2 linked regions of the Notamacropus eugenii genome follow. The protein of the gene in region 1 binds, or shares a complex with, the protein of each later gene. Links are inferred from orthologs where the notes say so. Each region holds a gene or a part of one and is shown on either strand. Other genes may lie near its edges. The genes, in order: LTK and ALKAL1.

Region 1 (7,375 bases):
GTGTGCATCCACCTGTAGTCTAGAGATTGGGAGTGGAGGGAAGGAAATTGGTTCAAAGGCAGTAATGGGAGGTATCACACCATCTGCATGTACAGATAGAGATACAGTGTTCTCAGGTTTTTCATATCCTTCCTTCAGTTTCCATTTTGACTTTGAACTTTCTGTCCTGTAAAACTAAGGCTTAAGACACCCAATGGTTTGTTAACAAAAACAATAAATACAGTGTAAAGCAAAGCCCTCTCCTTGTACAGCTGTGATAATATCAGAGTGCTGAACAACATACATTCCTTTTCCTGGGCACATTTGCAGAAACAACATGCCTTTCCCATCCGTCTTGTGCCTTTGGACAAGATACCCCAAATCACCCTGTTTAAGATTTTTTTAAGTTCTTTAAGGGGGCTTTGGTGGTTAAAGAGATGTTTAATTTCATCAGTGTAGGGCCAGGGGAAGGGAACCTCTGGCCTCAAGGCCAGATGTGGCCCTCTAGATCCTCAAGTGTGGCCCTTTGACTGAATCCAAACTTCACGGAACACATCCCCTTAATAGAAGGATTTGTTCTATAAAATTTGGACTCAGTCAAAAGGCTGCACCCAAGGACCTAGAAGGCCACATGTGGCCTCAAGGCCAAAAGTTCCCCACCCCTGATAGGCAATTCCTTTCACTATAACTTCTAACCTTAGAGAGGTATCTGAGTAACTTACTCATGGCCACCTAGCTAGTAATTTGAGGGAGGACTTGACCCTAAGTGCTGTCTCTCTGAGATCACCTCCAGCCACACCATGATGAATTGAGTTATGATTATGAGCACATAAGTAGGTGGAGTGTTGGGTTTATAGTCAGGAAGAGCAGACTTGGGTTGGTCTGATGCTAACAGTATATGTACCTGCAGTGCATAGAGCATTGGGTCTGGAGTTATGAAGACCTGAGATACTTCCTAGCTATGTAACCCTAGGCAAGTCACTTAACCTCTACCTGCCTCAGTTTCCTCAACTGTCAAATGAGGGGAATAATGGCACCTAACCTCCCCAGGTTGTTGTAAAGATCAAATGAAATAAGATTTTTAGCGCTGTACTGGACACAGAACAGACAATAAATGCTTGTCCTCTTCCTCCAAGAAACCACCAGGTCTGGTCATCTTTCTGTACCTCATTTCTCTTCTGTGTAAAAGGGGGTAATGCCTGTGGTACTAGCATTTGCTTCAAATGATTGCTTTGAGGCGTAAAAAAACTTAGAACAAATGAGTAAATCCATGAGAAAATATTAAGCACTTGTTCTATGCCAAGGTCAGTTCTGGAGATAAGAACACAAAAAGGAGTTCCCATTCTATTTCTAACAGGGGGAGACAGTATCTATAAGAGGGATGTCTTGGTCTGAGTGCCTGGGACTATAAGGAAATCACCACTGACACATTCTTTCCAGGGTCCCTGGGCTGCCTTTCAAACTCAGCCCCCTCAAGCTTGTAGACTGGGTCTCCACTCCCAGATTCTCAGGGTAGCGGAAGGGTCCAGGCCTCCCCAAACTCCAGTCTGGTGAGTTTAATAGCCGTTAGGCACAATTCAAAGCAAACTATTTGCCATGGTAAGAACTGCAGCTACAGAGTATTCTCCCTCCAGGAAGACTGGGGACAATTTCCCGCATAGACATGTCTCTGGAAAGAGGGGGAACACATTCATTAGAGTACGCTGGTCCTGAGGTACCGCCATCAGGACCTGTGTGACCAGGGCGTCTTATGCCCTCCGGGACTGCAGAGTCCTGATATCATTTCATGGAGTCCTCCTCCATCCCAGGCACAGTATCTCTTCTGGGTTAAGATGTTCCGTTGGGATCCCTAGGTCTGCTGCCTTCCAAAGCTCTGCTCTCAACTCCCAGGGATAGTTCTTGATTGAATCAAAAAATCAGCTCTCTGCTCTCAGAGATCATGCATTTTAAAGCTAATTCTTGTCCCTGCTGGAGTGTATGTATTTTTGTTTTCTGCCTTGAGCACACTGAATTCTGAGCTGCCTCTTCCTTTAGTGGGTCCTATTGATTGAGTAGCTCCAATGCTAGAAGACAAGGATGATAATGAGTCTGGGGAGGAAAACACAATCCCTGACTGACCTCTGATAGGAGCTGAAAGCCATATTACACACAGCTGCTTCCTGCCCGCAAGACTTCATGCTAAATCAAACTGTCCTCAGGGCTTGGGAGACTTAGTCTTTTTTAAAAATTATTTTATTTTTTCTGTTAAACATTTATTTTTCCCTCCTTCATTTAAAAGAAAAAGCAAAATCCTTTTAACACACATAGAAAAAGCAAAACTAATTCCACATTGGCTCTGTCCAAGAATATGTCATTCTGCAACTTGACTCCATCAGAATTTTTAAGTCTTGAAAGATACTTGTCCTTACATTTGTTATATAAGTTGTTTTTCCTGGTTTTGTTCACTCTGCATCAGTTCACACAAATCCTTCCACAGATTCTCCAAAACCATCCCTTTTATCTTTTATTATGACGTAATGGTCTTCCATTATATTCAAATATCATAATTATATTCAAATATCGTAATTTCCCAAATGATGAGCACACCTTAAACTTGCAATTTTTTGCCACTTTAAATAGAGCTGTCCCTGTGTACATATGAATGCTTTGCTTCCTTCCTTGATTTCCTTGAGCAGAAGCCTGATATGGTATCACTAGGTGAAAGAGCATGCAGAGCTTAGTAACCTTCTGGACCTAGTTCCAAATTTTGTTCCAGAATGGCCCATACCATTTTGACACCAACAACACACATTAATGTCTCTGTTTTCCCAAAGCCCATTCAACAGTTGTCATTTTGGGGTCAGTTTTGCCAATCTGATGGGTATGAGATGGAATCTCAGAGTTGCTTTAAAATGTAAATTTCTCTAATAGTGATTTGGAGCAAGTTTTTTTATATGATTCAGGATTAACTTTTTAAGTCTTCCAGGGATGTGGCCCATCTCTACGCAGCCAGTGGCTAGCTGCCCTTCCCATTTAATCAGATTACTCCTCCCCACATTTTGTGAACAGTGACAAGGCCTATATTATCTGAATATTTTGACTTTCTAAAGTGCACCCAACAAACCTTAACACTTTGGGACATATTACAATACCAACAATTAGCTAATTGCTAATAGCATTTTTATAGCACTCTAAGGTTTGCATAGCACTGTGCATGTGTTGTCTCATTGGATTCTCAGGACACCTCTGTGAGGGAGGTACTATTATTATCTATTATGCCATTACAGAAAAGGAAACTGAAGCTGAGAGAGGTTATGTGACTTGCTCAGGGTTGTAGCGAGTAAGTGTCTGAGGCAGGATTGGAATTCTTCTTGATTCCAAGTCCTGCATTCCATGCATTACCCCACTTCATGCCTTAGATTTGTGTCTTAAAAAACTCAAACACACAAGCTTGAGAGATAAGCAGGGCAGGTAATGACCCTACTTTATAGCTGAGGAAAAAAGACTCAGAGAGAGTAAGAATTTGCCCAAGTTCACACCAGAAGGTAGAACTCAGGTCGCCTGACTGCCTAGTTAGTCCAGTGCTCCCCCCTCCCCCCCCCCCAGTGCACATCCTTGTACATGAAATGAATGTGAGAAAAGGGATTTATGGCATGGGTGTGTAGTATGTAAGGTGGGTATGTAAGAGGGTGTAATATGCAGTGTTAGTTTCTGGGCTAACAGACCTCTAATCCAGAGACTGGATAGAATAATCACAAAGTTTAAAAATTACACCTCAAGAGTCATACAAAACCCCACACTCCATCTCTCCCAGGATAAAACTAGCTGACATCACACCTGACAACTTGCTATCAATGAAGCCCAGGGAAGGACCGACTTCGTTGTCCGACTTCTCTGCCTCCGAATTTCCTCCTTAGCTCCCTAGGGCATCCATGTAGCTGGGGCCCAAAAACCCAGGGCATTATGAGGGGCTGCTTGGCTTCTCCCCATTCTTAACCTGTCATTGGTCAGAGGCCAAGGTGATTTTTGGTCAAAATTGGAATTGGTTCTTTGAGGATTTGGCTAGTCATATGCTGGAACTTGGTGCCGACTCACTGTGCCCCCTCCGCTTCCCTGGTTCCTGAGCTGCTCTGACCACGGGTCTGAAACGGGTGTGGCTGGGGCGGGCTCTAGGACCCTGAGGTACCCTGGGGCTGCTGGACACTCCTATAAGCCTCAGGCCGTCTGACAGTCCAGCACAGCGTCTGCGGAGTCCTTGCCCGCACCTGGCTGGCCCCTGCGGGTGGGGTGATGGGAGGCCTGGTCCACTTGCTGCTGTGGCTCAGCTCTGGAGGTAAGCGTCATAGCCACCGACCGCTCGTATTCAGCACCCGAGGGGCCCCACCCAGCCTCGTCCCGTGTTAGGGAGGTTGGGACAGGAGTGAAGACAAGCTGAGTCTTCTGGCATGCAAGCCCAGAAGCTCCTACTCTCCTGCAACCTGTCAGGGTGGATGGGGGTAGGCAGGGTCGTTGGGAGGGACCCGGAAACCTGCACCTCTTAGGTCCACAATAGGTCGTCTCACAGTGGCCAGGGCGGGTAGTATGGCCCAGATGACCCCTCCACTTTTTCTGCGATGTCTCTTCTCCAGGGGCCCTCTCCCTGAGTAGTGCACTGGATCCAAGTCCCAGGAGATCAGGGGCACTCCTGGCTCCGGTCCTTTCGGAATAAATTTGAGACCCTGGGGAAGCAGGGGGAGACTCGGTTTGGGGGGAGCCAGGGGAGAATGATGTGAGGTAGGGAAGGGGCCCAGCCCAGTAGGTCACTGAGCTGATGGGGAGGCAGGATCAGTACCTCTCCGAGCTCTGGATTCTGCCCACCAGGAACAACAGCGGGGGGGGGGGGGGGGGGGGGGGAGGGGGGGGTGTCAAGCGCTCGGGAGAGGGAGTGGCCATACTGATGGGTATCTCCTTGTGCACTTGTGGTGAGGGTCTGCATGGTTTTGCCAAGGCAAAGCGTCAAGGGGGTTCTTCCGAGGTCTTCCTTATTCTTCTTTTCATGCTCAGTGAATCATCTCTATCTCTCCCTACTCCTCACCTTACTTTGAAGGTAGAGAGCTCTTTAACCCAAGGTTAGGAAGCAGGTTTTGACGAGTTTCTGTGCCCACCACTAATACCGTCAAATCACAGGGATTATAGAATTTTAGAGCGAGAAAGAACCTGAGATCATCTAGACCGGGGTTCTTGACCTGAAGGAGGGAAAATTACATCTTTATTTAATTATCATTGATTTTCTTTGTAATCCCCTGTATTTTATTTTATTCTGAGAAGGCATCCATAGACCTCATGAGACTGCCAGAAGGTTTATGACAAAAATGGCTAAGCGTATCTGACCTAGGCCTAATTTTACAGACCAGGAAACTGAGGCCCATTTCCTTGCCCAGGGTCACACAGCCGTTTGTGGCAGGGCTGAAACTCCAGCCAAAGCCATTTGCCACACCTTTCTAATCCCCGCCTGTCATGTCTGGATTTCTTCTGCAGGTGTCATTGTCTGCTCTTCGAGTTCCGAGTCTCCGGTCCCTTCCCTGCCTCCTTCTCTGACGCCTCCTGTCCCCAGACTCCAGAGGACTGGTGTCGCCTCCCAGAGTGGCACTCAGGAGCCAGCAGCTTCCCATGGCCTTTCCGGTGAGACTTCGGGTGTCCCTGGCTGCTCCCTCCCAAACCCCACAACTCCCCTCCTCCGGTTCTCCTAGTCTCACAATCCTGACTCACGCGCAGACATTTCTAGCCCCACCGACGTCTCACTGCTGTAACTCCTGGGCCCCCCCAAAAGAAGCCACGTTGGGCTCGCTTTTGCAAGCCTTTCGAGACCTCAGCTATGAGCAGCTGAACAGGACGTGGGTGGGTCCTCAGTGACCGTCCCCCTCCCCTCTGTCCCCCGGACTAGACGGCCAGTGGCAATTCTCCACCTGCGGAGCTAGCGGGAGGCGCGGCCCCACGCAGGCTCAGTGCGACGGGGCGTACGAGGGCGGCAACGTGGCGGTGACCGTGGGAGCAGAGGGCTCCCTCCGAGGGGTGCAGCTCTGGAAGGTGCCAGCCCTCGACCGTTATCTGTAAGTGCTCGTCCAGGGACTGCCCCCACTGCGTTAGGAAACGATAGGGATGTAGAGGTGAAGCAAAGGAGCACGGATTCCGCCCGTCAAGCCTAGGACCCCAGCCCGCCGTGGCCTGACCTCGCCCCCTTCTCCTCCCTGCGCCACGAAAAACCAAAACAAAACACCAAACCTTTATGGAGCTGGAGATAGGTCTGGAGAGCGGTCACCGTGGGAGGGATCTGAGCCCCGGGTGGGGATGGCTAAGGAGCCAGGGCTGGCTTCCCCCAGGATCTCTGCCTACGGGGCCGCTGGAGGCAAAGGCGCCAAGAACCACAACTCCCGCGCCCACGGGGTCTTCGTCTCGTCCGTCTTCACCCTGCGCCAAGGGGAGCTGCTCTACATCCTGGTGGGGCAGCAGGGAGGGGATGCCTGTCCCGGAGTAAGCAGTGGGGGGTATGGGAAAGGGCGGGCGCGGGGACGGAGACCGCCTGGAGTGTTTAGGAAGCGGGCTAGGAAACGGGGAGCTGTCGGAACCCACTGTCTGTTCTGTCCCACTCTGTGCTGGCAGGGGAGCCCGGAGAGCCAAGACGTCTGTCTCGGGACGTCCTCAGCAGCGGAGGAGGAAGAGAAGGCGGCTGGAGCCCCAGGGTTCCTGGGTCCCAGACGCTGGGCTGGAGGGGGCGGGGGCGGGGGGGGCGCCTCCTACGTCTTCCGGGTAGGTCCCCTCTATTCCCCCGCCGTCCCCAGGGCTCCCTGGATCCTTCTTCCTGGCTGTGTCTCCATCCCCAGGCCCCGAGGGCCCTCCTTCATCCTCCCGGCCCCCGTGAAGGAGGGCCCTTGGGAGCACCCCTGACAGTACCCATAACTTTCTCAGCAGCTGCAGTCCGGAGAACTGGAGCCTCTGCTGGTGGCTGCAGGCGGCGGGGGCCGAGCCTATCTTAGAAGACTACAGAGAGGCTCGCTGAGGGCGACCCAAGAGAAGCTGGAGAACCGGACCTCTGCTCCTGGGAGAGGCGGGAGGGGCGGGGCCGCAGGTGAGAGGGAGCCCGGGACCCTAAATGACCGGCTGGAGTGTGGCGTCGCTCCCCAAAACTTCCTTGGGGCTGCCCGCCCCGGCTCAGGCTCTGGTCCGTTCTGCAGGTGGAGGAGGCGGATGGAAATCGGGGGCTCCCTCGGCACAGGGCGGTCGCTCGCTGCTGGAAGGAGCGGAGGGAGGCCAAGGCTGTCCCGGAGCTTGGGCTGCGCTCCGCTGGGCTCCTACCGGCGGCTTTGGGGGCGGGGGCGGGCCCTGCACCGCGGGAGGCGGCGGCGGAGGCTACCGGGGTAGGTGACTTCCCAACAAGGCT
Region 2 (7,208 bases), on another chromosome or scaffold:
GCCAGAACAAAAGAATGGCAATAGATTGTAATGATAATAATAGCTAACATTTATATAGTGCCTACTGTGTGTCAGGCATTGTGCTGAACCTTGTGATTATCTTTGCTATCTCATTCAATCCTCACAACATCCCCGGGAGATAGGTACTATTATTACTGCCATTTTTTAGATGAGGAAACTGAGGCAAACAGGTTAAGTGACTTGCCCAAGCTCACACAGCTAGTGTCTGAATCCAGATGTAAACTTGGGTTTTCCTGACTCCAGGCCCTACACTCTACTCACTGCACCCCACTGATAGAAGATATCCTTACTTCCATGTACCCAAAATAAGTTCTTTTTTGTACATGATGTTTGACCCTGTTCTTTTGAATTTTTTTTTCACCAGTTCAACTTATAGGGTGCCTTTACTATATAAAACTCCTGTTGACTCTGAATCCAGAAAAAATAATAAATTGTTTTCTTCAAAGTCACAATTTTATAGTGCTTCTTCCAGGTTCCCCTTTAAGTTGAGTACTCTGAAAATATTTTCAAGGGACAAGAAAATTACTTGAAAGCATTGAGATTATTTTGATGATTTTATGAGATTAATATTTTTTAGTCATTCTACTTTGATCTACCTCTAATGAAAAAGTTTTCTTCAGTTGTCTTTAGTTTATCCTTCACTTCCTCCTTCCAAGTTCTCTTTGTTCTGGAATGACTCTGAGCTTGCAAAATGAATGCAAGGGATCTCAGTAGATGGTTCATTTAACATAATGTCCCACAAAGTGTCTAATAAATGTTGATTGATGGATTAATAGATCATAGAAAGTCTGGTTTACTGGCATTTGTGTTAGGTTTGAAAAAAATGAGAAAACAATCAATATCCAGGAAAAAGGCAATGGTTTTAGGTATGAACAAAGGTAAGGAAGTGGGAGAATAAAGGATATTTTCATGAGGCAGAGAACACTCCAGTTTGTTTCAGGAGGGGTGTAAGTGTGCAAGATTGTGGAGAATCTTGAATGCCAAGGAAGAAAGTTTGAATTTTATTCAGTAGGAAATAGTATGTTCTTGAAGATTTTTGAGCAGAAGAATTTAACAGGTTGATGAATAGATGACTAGATGTATCTATAAGGAAGATATTTTGGTAGTGGCATGAAGGATACATTGGAGGTGGCAGAGTTGAGTTAAAAAACCCACTGGAAAGTTATTTTTAAAAATTAAATATTATTTGCAGTTCTGATTTCTCTACCTGGCCCTATATATCTCCTCCATCTGTTGAGAAGGCAAGAAAAAAAAAAGAGAAGAAAAGTTTTGGGTTTTTTTGTGGCATTTTGAGTCCATCTCTTTTTATATTGAGGTAGATACCATATTTCATCATAGACCTTTTAGAATTGTGGTTGGTCATTATGTTGATCAGTCTTCCTATGTCTTTCAAAGTTATTTATCTTTCTAATAATATTACTATTGTATGAATTGTTCTCCTAGCTCTGCTGACTTCACTTTGCATCATGTTATACAAGTCTTCTCAGGTCTATTTTTTTCTTTTTATTTCTGGAAACCACCCCCTTCATCACTTCATATGGCATGATAATGCATCACTTTCATATACCTTAACTTGTTCATTAATTAGATTAAAAAATAAAACAAAAAAGATCAAAAAAAGAAATGAGACCTTTTCAGAGAAACTTCTTGCAAAAATTTCCTCTTTCCCATTTCTTATGTCTCTTCTTATTTTATCTGCTTTGCTTTATTTATGAAAGCTCTTTTGAATTATTTAAGTAAGATTAACCATTAGGAATTTATGTTAATATATTTGGGAGTAATGTGAGTTTGTACTAGTATGGCTGTTGTGAGACTAGGCAGGATTGATGGCATAAAGGAATTTATAGAGGTAGAATTGATAGAATATGACAATTGACTGGAAGTGAGAGGTGAGGAAAAGGGAACCTTCCAAGGCAATTCAAGATTACAAACATGGGAGATAGTGTGTATAATGATGCCACAGACATAAATAATGAGGTCAGACATATGGCCAAGCTTGAAGCAAAAGATGGTGTTTAGTTTTGATCTTTGGTTTTGAAAATGTTGAATTTGAGGTGTCAGTAGAGGAACATGTCTGGTACAGAGTTATGATATCAGAGTTACGATATCATAAGAGATATTGGGACTGGAGATCTAGATTTTAGAAATTATTTATTTAGAGGTAGTATATGAAGCTGTGGGAATGAACAAGTTTTACAACTGAGAAAAGGTAGAGAGAGAAGAGGGCCAAGGACAGAAATCTGGAGAACACCCACACTGGGGAGAAGTAAGGCAATGTGGAGGATATAGAGAAAAGCAACAGAAATGGCAAACCACTAGAATGTGGTGTTTTCAAAATGAGGGGAGAAGGTTGTCTGGCATAACCTTTGGTGATCAACACTATCAAAAACTGAAAACTGTTAAAGAAAATAAAAAGTAAGAAGCATCCATTGGCTTTGGTGACTAGGATGCCACTAGTGACTTTTGAGAGAGTAGTGTCAAGTCATCATTCTTGGTAGTTGTAGTGATGGAGAGAATCAAATTGTGAAGTGGATGGTGAGGAAATATAGATGTCTAGTATTGATAACTTTTCTCAGGCAGTTTAGTGGAAAAAGAGGAAAGGAAGTTGAAGAGTGGGACTGAAGAGGAGGATTTGGGATTTCTTTTGTTTGTTTTGTTTTGTTTTTAGGATTGGGAAGTAGACAAATCAAAAGGAACTCTTGAGGAGAAAAATTTTCTGAAGATGTACTCAATGTCATGCAGTACAATACAATGGTATAATAAACATTTATTAAGTGATCACTATGTTTAAGGAAGTGTGTTAGATGCAGAGGATACAGAAAAAGAACAGTTCTACATTTTGCCATCCCTACATGTGAGAGGGGATGGCTTCTGGGACAAAGTTCTATAGGATACAGTAAGAATGGTCTGAAGGTCACAAGTAGAACGATTATTCCTAGTAAGGAGGAGGAATTGATTTTAATGTTAAGAAATTCAGGAATACAGATGTGGAGCTAAGGGACCTCACATTGGTTGGTTTCAGTCATCCCAGCGAAGGAGATTAAATCTGCTTTAAGTGTGGAAGGTGGAAGTGAGCTGGTAGAAGAAAAGGTTTGCAATAGTTGCTATGTGGAATGAGGTAGGGAGTCAAGATTAAAAAAGAAGGCAAATGAAGCCAACTGGGGAAAATGAACCCGGAGAACTGAGATGGGTCAAGGAAACAAAGACTAGAAGGGCAAAAAATTGGTTTAGTGTCAAGGAATAGGGGAGGTAAAAGGACAAGAGGTTGTAATATGAAAGTAGTTTGGTTACCAAACCTGAAGGAGTTTCTTGAGGCATAAACACATTAACACACTTCCCTAGAGTCTCAGAATTAATGAGTGTAAGAGGCTAAATTTGAATCCAGATCCTTGTTTCAAGTCTACACTCATTATTGTCTCTTCAATTAAATATAAAACTAAATATATATCTACTCATAATCAATAACTATAATTATCTGACAAACAACATTTACTTATAATTGTCTTATAATTGTCACTTTACTTAGAACTAAAGAATTTCATTTCATTTTTCATTTAGTAGAACTTACAAGTTTTGAATAGGGATTTTTTTGAAGTTTAAAAATGCTGTCATCCTTTGTGTCCTTTGGTAAGCATTACTGATTTACAGAGAAATTAGATTTCACAAAAAGATCTGAGGCACTCTAGCCGATGACTCTTCCCTTGAGTGCAGCCCACAGAGGGGAAAAGGAAACAATAGAAGTTTGACATGAATAGCCAGGATGAATTGAAGAAAAGATTACCTAAAATGTCCTCGTCATTTGCCACCCACCCAAAGCCTACTAGTGCTCATTTGAACATGCTCGTATAAAACAAAGGAGTGGACTCCAGAGGGGCACTCACTTACTGTCTCCTGAGCGGGTGTGAGAGCCACACTTGCTCCAATCAGAGGGAGTCCTCCGCCATAAGCAAGAACTAAAGGGCAAGAGAAGACAAAGCATTTGCATTTTGCCAGTGAAGAAGGATTTATTCATCTGCATAAGGTAAACTCCCCATACTTCAAAGAGCATCTCATAGAAAGGCATTTTTTTTTTTTTTTTTTGCTTTACTCTGTAACCTGAAAGCTACTCTCTTTAGTATCCAGCAGATAGGTAACTTCTTGGGTGGTTAAAACTTTTGGCTGGTTTTGGTAACCACAGAAGGAATTAAACAATATTATTCCTCAGAGGTTAGTGTGAGCAGTTCCCAGGATGTAAAGAGAAGGAGGAGGAGATTCCCTGTAAGGATGCAAAATCGTAGTCCAGGAAAGGTTTGCATTTAAACTATTGTCTTAAGAATGGAATTATCATTTTTCCTCTGAAAAGTTAATTGTGTTTTACACATCTCCTTGACTGAGGGTGAGTAAAATTTAAAAGAGACCTGGTGTTTTATTTATTTAGAAAGAAAGGGAGGGAGGGAGGGAGGGAGGGAACAAGAAAGGAAGAAAAGAGGGAAGGCACGAATGGAAGGAAGGTAATAATAGAACGAAGAAAAGAAGGAAGGAAAGAAAGAAGGAAGAAAGGAAGCTTTGTTTGGTGAAGTAGAGAGGACCCCAGGAAAAGCAGCCAAAGCATGGGGTTGGTAGACTTTTTTATCCCCTCAGGTTTGCCAGGGGATAGAAAAGTCCTCCAAAGTCCAATTCCTCCCTCTCCCCACCCCCACTCCCGCCCCTTCTTTCTCCCCTTTCTTCTCACTGTACTTATAGGGGAATCTCTATAGTAATTGTGTGCTAGTGACATTCTAGTGTCAGAAAGCTTTAAGCGCATGGCTTGCTGGCCAGTCTGGCCCATGGTTCATCTCCCACATGCCTGAGTGGCACTGGGTAGCTGATGGATGGTTCGAATTTCACAAATTACCCACGAGAGGCTTCTTTTCTTGAGATTCTGAAGTTGATTCGTGTCAGATCATACATAGCTTCCTGGGCAATCGGGCTAAACCCATCTTTTCCTTTCTCCTTTCCCTCCTCCCTGTGCTCCCGCCCACCTCTGGAAAAGTTCTCCATCTTCTTGAGAGCCTCTTGGGCTATTGCCCGCTCCCCAAGGCACTGCTTTTCGGGCATTTGAACTGCAAGGACTGAGGCAGGGGCTGATGGACCGGTGAGGGATACTTGTCCGGGACAGTCCAACAGTGCCAATACTCTTCCCCCCGGGCAGGGGCGGGGGGTGGGAAGGGCTCCCAGGGGTAGTAAGGTTCTGGAGGCCAGGGATAAGGATTGCAGAAAGACTACATTTTAGACCTAAACAAGACCCTCACTTGCTTTCTTCTTCCTTTTTTCTTTTTCCCGCTCCCCCTCCATCATCCTTGATCGGGTTTCTTTCCTTAGACATCTGAGTCTCTTCCTTCCCAGTCCAGTCCAGGTTAGGAATTCGTTCCAGACACGTGCTGGGCATGGCACTGGGAGGATCTAAATGTTGCTGTTTTCTTTCTTTTTCGCCTTCCTTCTTTCTCTTTAGACGCACAGAAGATGCAGGCAGTTAGCGAGTGGCCCAAGCTGCCTACCCTCTTCCTCTTAATTCTCGCTTTGGCCTCCCAGGAGAGCCAAGGAAGCCCCCGGGGCCGCAGGCAAGCAGGAGCGCAGGGAGATAAAGGGAAGCTTCTCCATCTACTACCAGCGCCCGCAGCTTCCAGTGGCGCCCACGTCCCGCAGCACCTCGGCGCGGGCAAGGTGCGCTCCTCTAGTCAGCGGGAGCGCGTGGTGTATGCAGCCCCCTCCACTTCTTCGTTCTCCGAACCTCAGAGGGACCACGACCGGGCACTGCTGTTCTCCGCCTCCTCCTCCACTGAACCAGCCGGCTCCTGGATCTTCAGCGTACCCAGGAGCGCAGGTAAGAACGATTCCCAAACTTGATTCTTTGCTTCGGCGCACCTGATCTGCATCCAACTTCTGGACATTGGAACGGACTGCGGCTTGAGAGAGCCTCCTGTCTCATGCCAGAAATCCCAGTCTCATTGTGAAAAGCAAAAACATGAAATTTACACCCTCTCTGAAGCTTTCCATTCTAAAATCTACCTCTGGGATTGGTGCTTTGGTCCGGGGACTTTGAGAAGAGAAGGGAGGGGAAGGATATGTTCTGGGATCCAAGGAAGAAAAAAGGGAATAAATTATGCTGAGGCGAATAGAAGTCTCAGTCACGGAAAGAAGTTGAGTTAAACTCTTCTGCACGAATTTGGGCTTTGATTTCATTTAAGGACAGTGAGAGGTTTACGTTTCTTCCCAGCTGGCCACACACGTTGATTTCCGTTATTGTTAAAGACGGAGGGATAAAATGCAAAGATTGCTGGATTGAGAGTAAGCACTATCTAAATCTAAATTGTTTAGAGCTGGATTTGGAGCCAGAGGACCTGTGTTCGAAACACTGTGACCTTGGGCAAGTCTAAAGCTCTCTGAGTCTCTAAGATCCTTGGTAGTTTGAAATCCATTTTCTTATGATCTAAATTTCCACCCACTAATCAGTTTCTCTAGGTCTTTTAAAATTGTGGGTGGGTCTGGAAAGAGACAGAATCGCCCAAACTTCTTTGGGGAGTAAGTTGCCAGGAGGTGAATAGTGTGTGGAGGGGGAGAGAAGACTGGTAATGGAAAGAGTGAGTAGAGAAGGAAGTAAAAGAAGACTAAAGATATTGGCTAGAATGAAAAGGACAGAAATTACATGGAAGATCTATAAAATTGTAGGGGAAAGAGGAGATGGTATTTACATATATATCACAAAACATGTTCAAATTTATTATTCCCTTGGTCCCTGCACACTTGGGACAAACTATTATTTTCCTATTCCACACACACAAATACAGTTTTACATTTGAAGAAAGCAAGGACAGTCAGATAACTTCATGGTGGTTACATGACTGAACCAGAACTAGAATTCAGATCTTCTGATTCCAAGGCCAGTGCCCTTTCCACTGTACTGCTGCTATGCCAAGCTAGCAAAATGCCCTAGGAAACTTGAAGAAATAAAGAGTTGGAAGAGTTGGTAGTTAACTTACTCGTTTTTTCATCTTTGTTCATTGGTCCTTAATACTAGATTGTTGTTAGTGATTTTTTCTATCTGTGTAGAGTCATATGATTCTAGTTTTAAAACTGGAGGGACCTTAGAGATTATTTAGGCACTACCTCTATTGCTTACTGTTTGTATGCCCATAGGAAGCTCATCACCTCTCTGGTTTTGTTGTTGT

What was found.
Region 2: the proteins of LTK (region 1) and ALKAL1 are in contact, whole or in part, in a crystal structure (PDB 7NX0), measured with the Homo sapiens proteins. The link is inferred for Notamacropus eugenii from reciprocal best matches to the Homo sapiens genes LTK and ALKAL1. Residues at the interface, in NP_002335.2 of Homo sapiens: Tyr124, His140, Phe143, Ala250, Ser251, Pro252, Glu253, Leu359, Phe360, Leu361, Gln362, Leu364, Ala365, Val366, Glu368, Glu372, Glu374, Arg376; in NP_997296.1 of Homo sapiens: His93, Arg96, Leu97, Asn100, Thr101, Arg102, Glu103, Arg112, Arg115, Leu116, Arg119, Leu120, Ser123.

Annotation. Positions count from the first base shown.
Region 1 is NC_092878.1:27,621,569-27,628,943, reverse strand, and holds the start of LTK (leukocyte tyrosine kinase receptor), read left to right. Parts: upstream 1-4,158; 5' UTR 4,159-4,248; coding exon 4,249-4,291; intron 4,292-5,475; coding exon 5,476-5,619; intron 5,620-5,881; coding exon 5,882-6,047; intron 6,048-6,317; coding exon 6,318-6,468; intron 6,469-6,597; coding exon 6,598-6,744; intron 6,745-6,903; coding exon 6,904-7,063; intron 7,064-7,169; coding exon 7,170-7,352; intron 7,353-7,375. UniProt on the Homo sapiens protein: Receptor with a tyrosine-protein kinase activity. Following activation by ALKAL1 or ALKAL2 ligands at the cell surface, transduces an extracellular signal into an intracellular response.
Region 2 is NC_092875.1:270,219,220-270,226,427, reverse strand, and holds the start of ALKAL1 (ALK and LTK ligand 1), read left to right. Parts: upstream 1-4,002; 5' UTR 4,003-4,042; intron 4,043-5,491; 5' UTR 5,492-5,502; coding exon 5,503-5,863; intron 5,864-7,208. UniProt on the Homo sapiens protein: Cytokine that acts as a physiological ligand for receptor tyrosine kinase LTK, leading to its activation. Monomeric ALKAL1 binds to LTK, leading to LTK homodimerization and activation.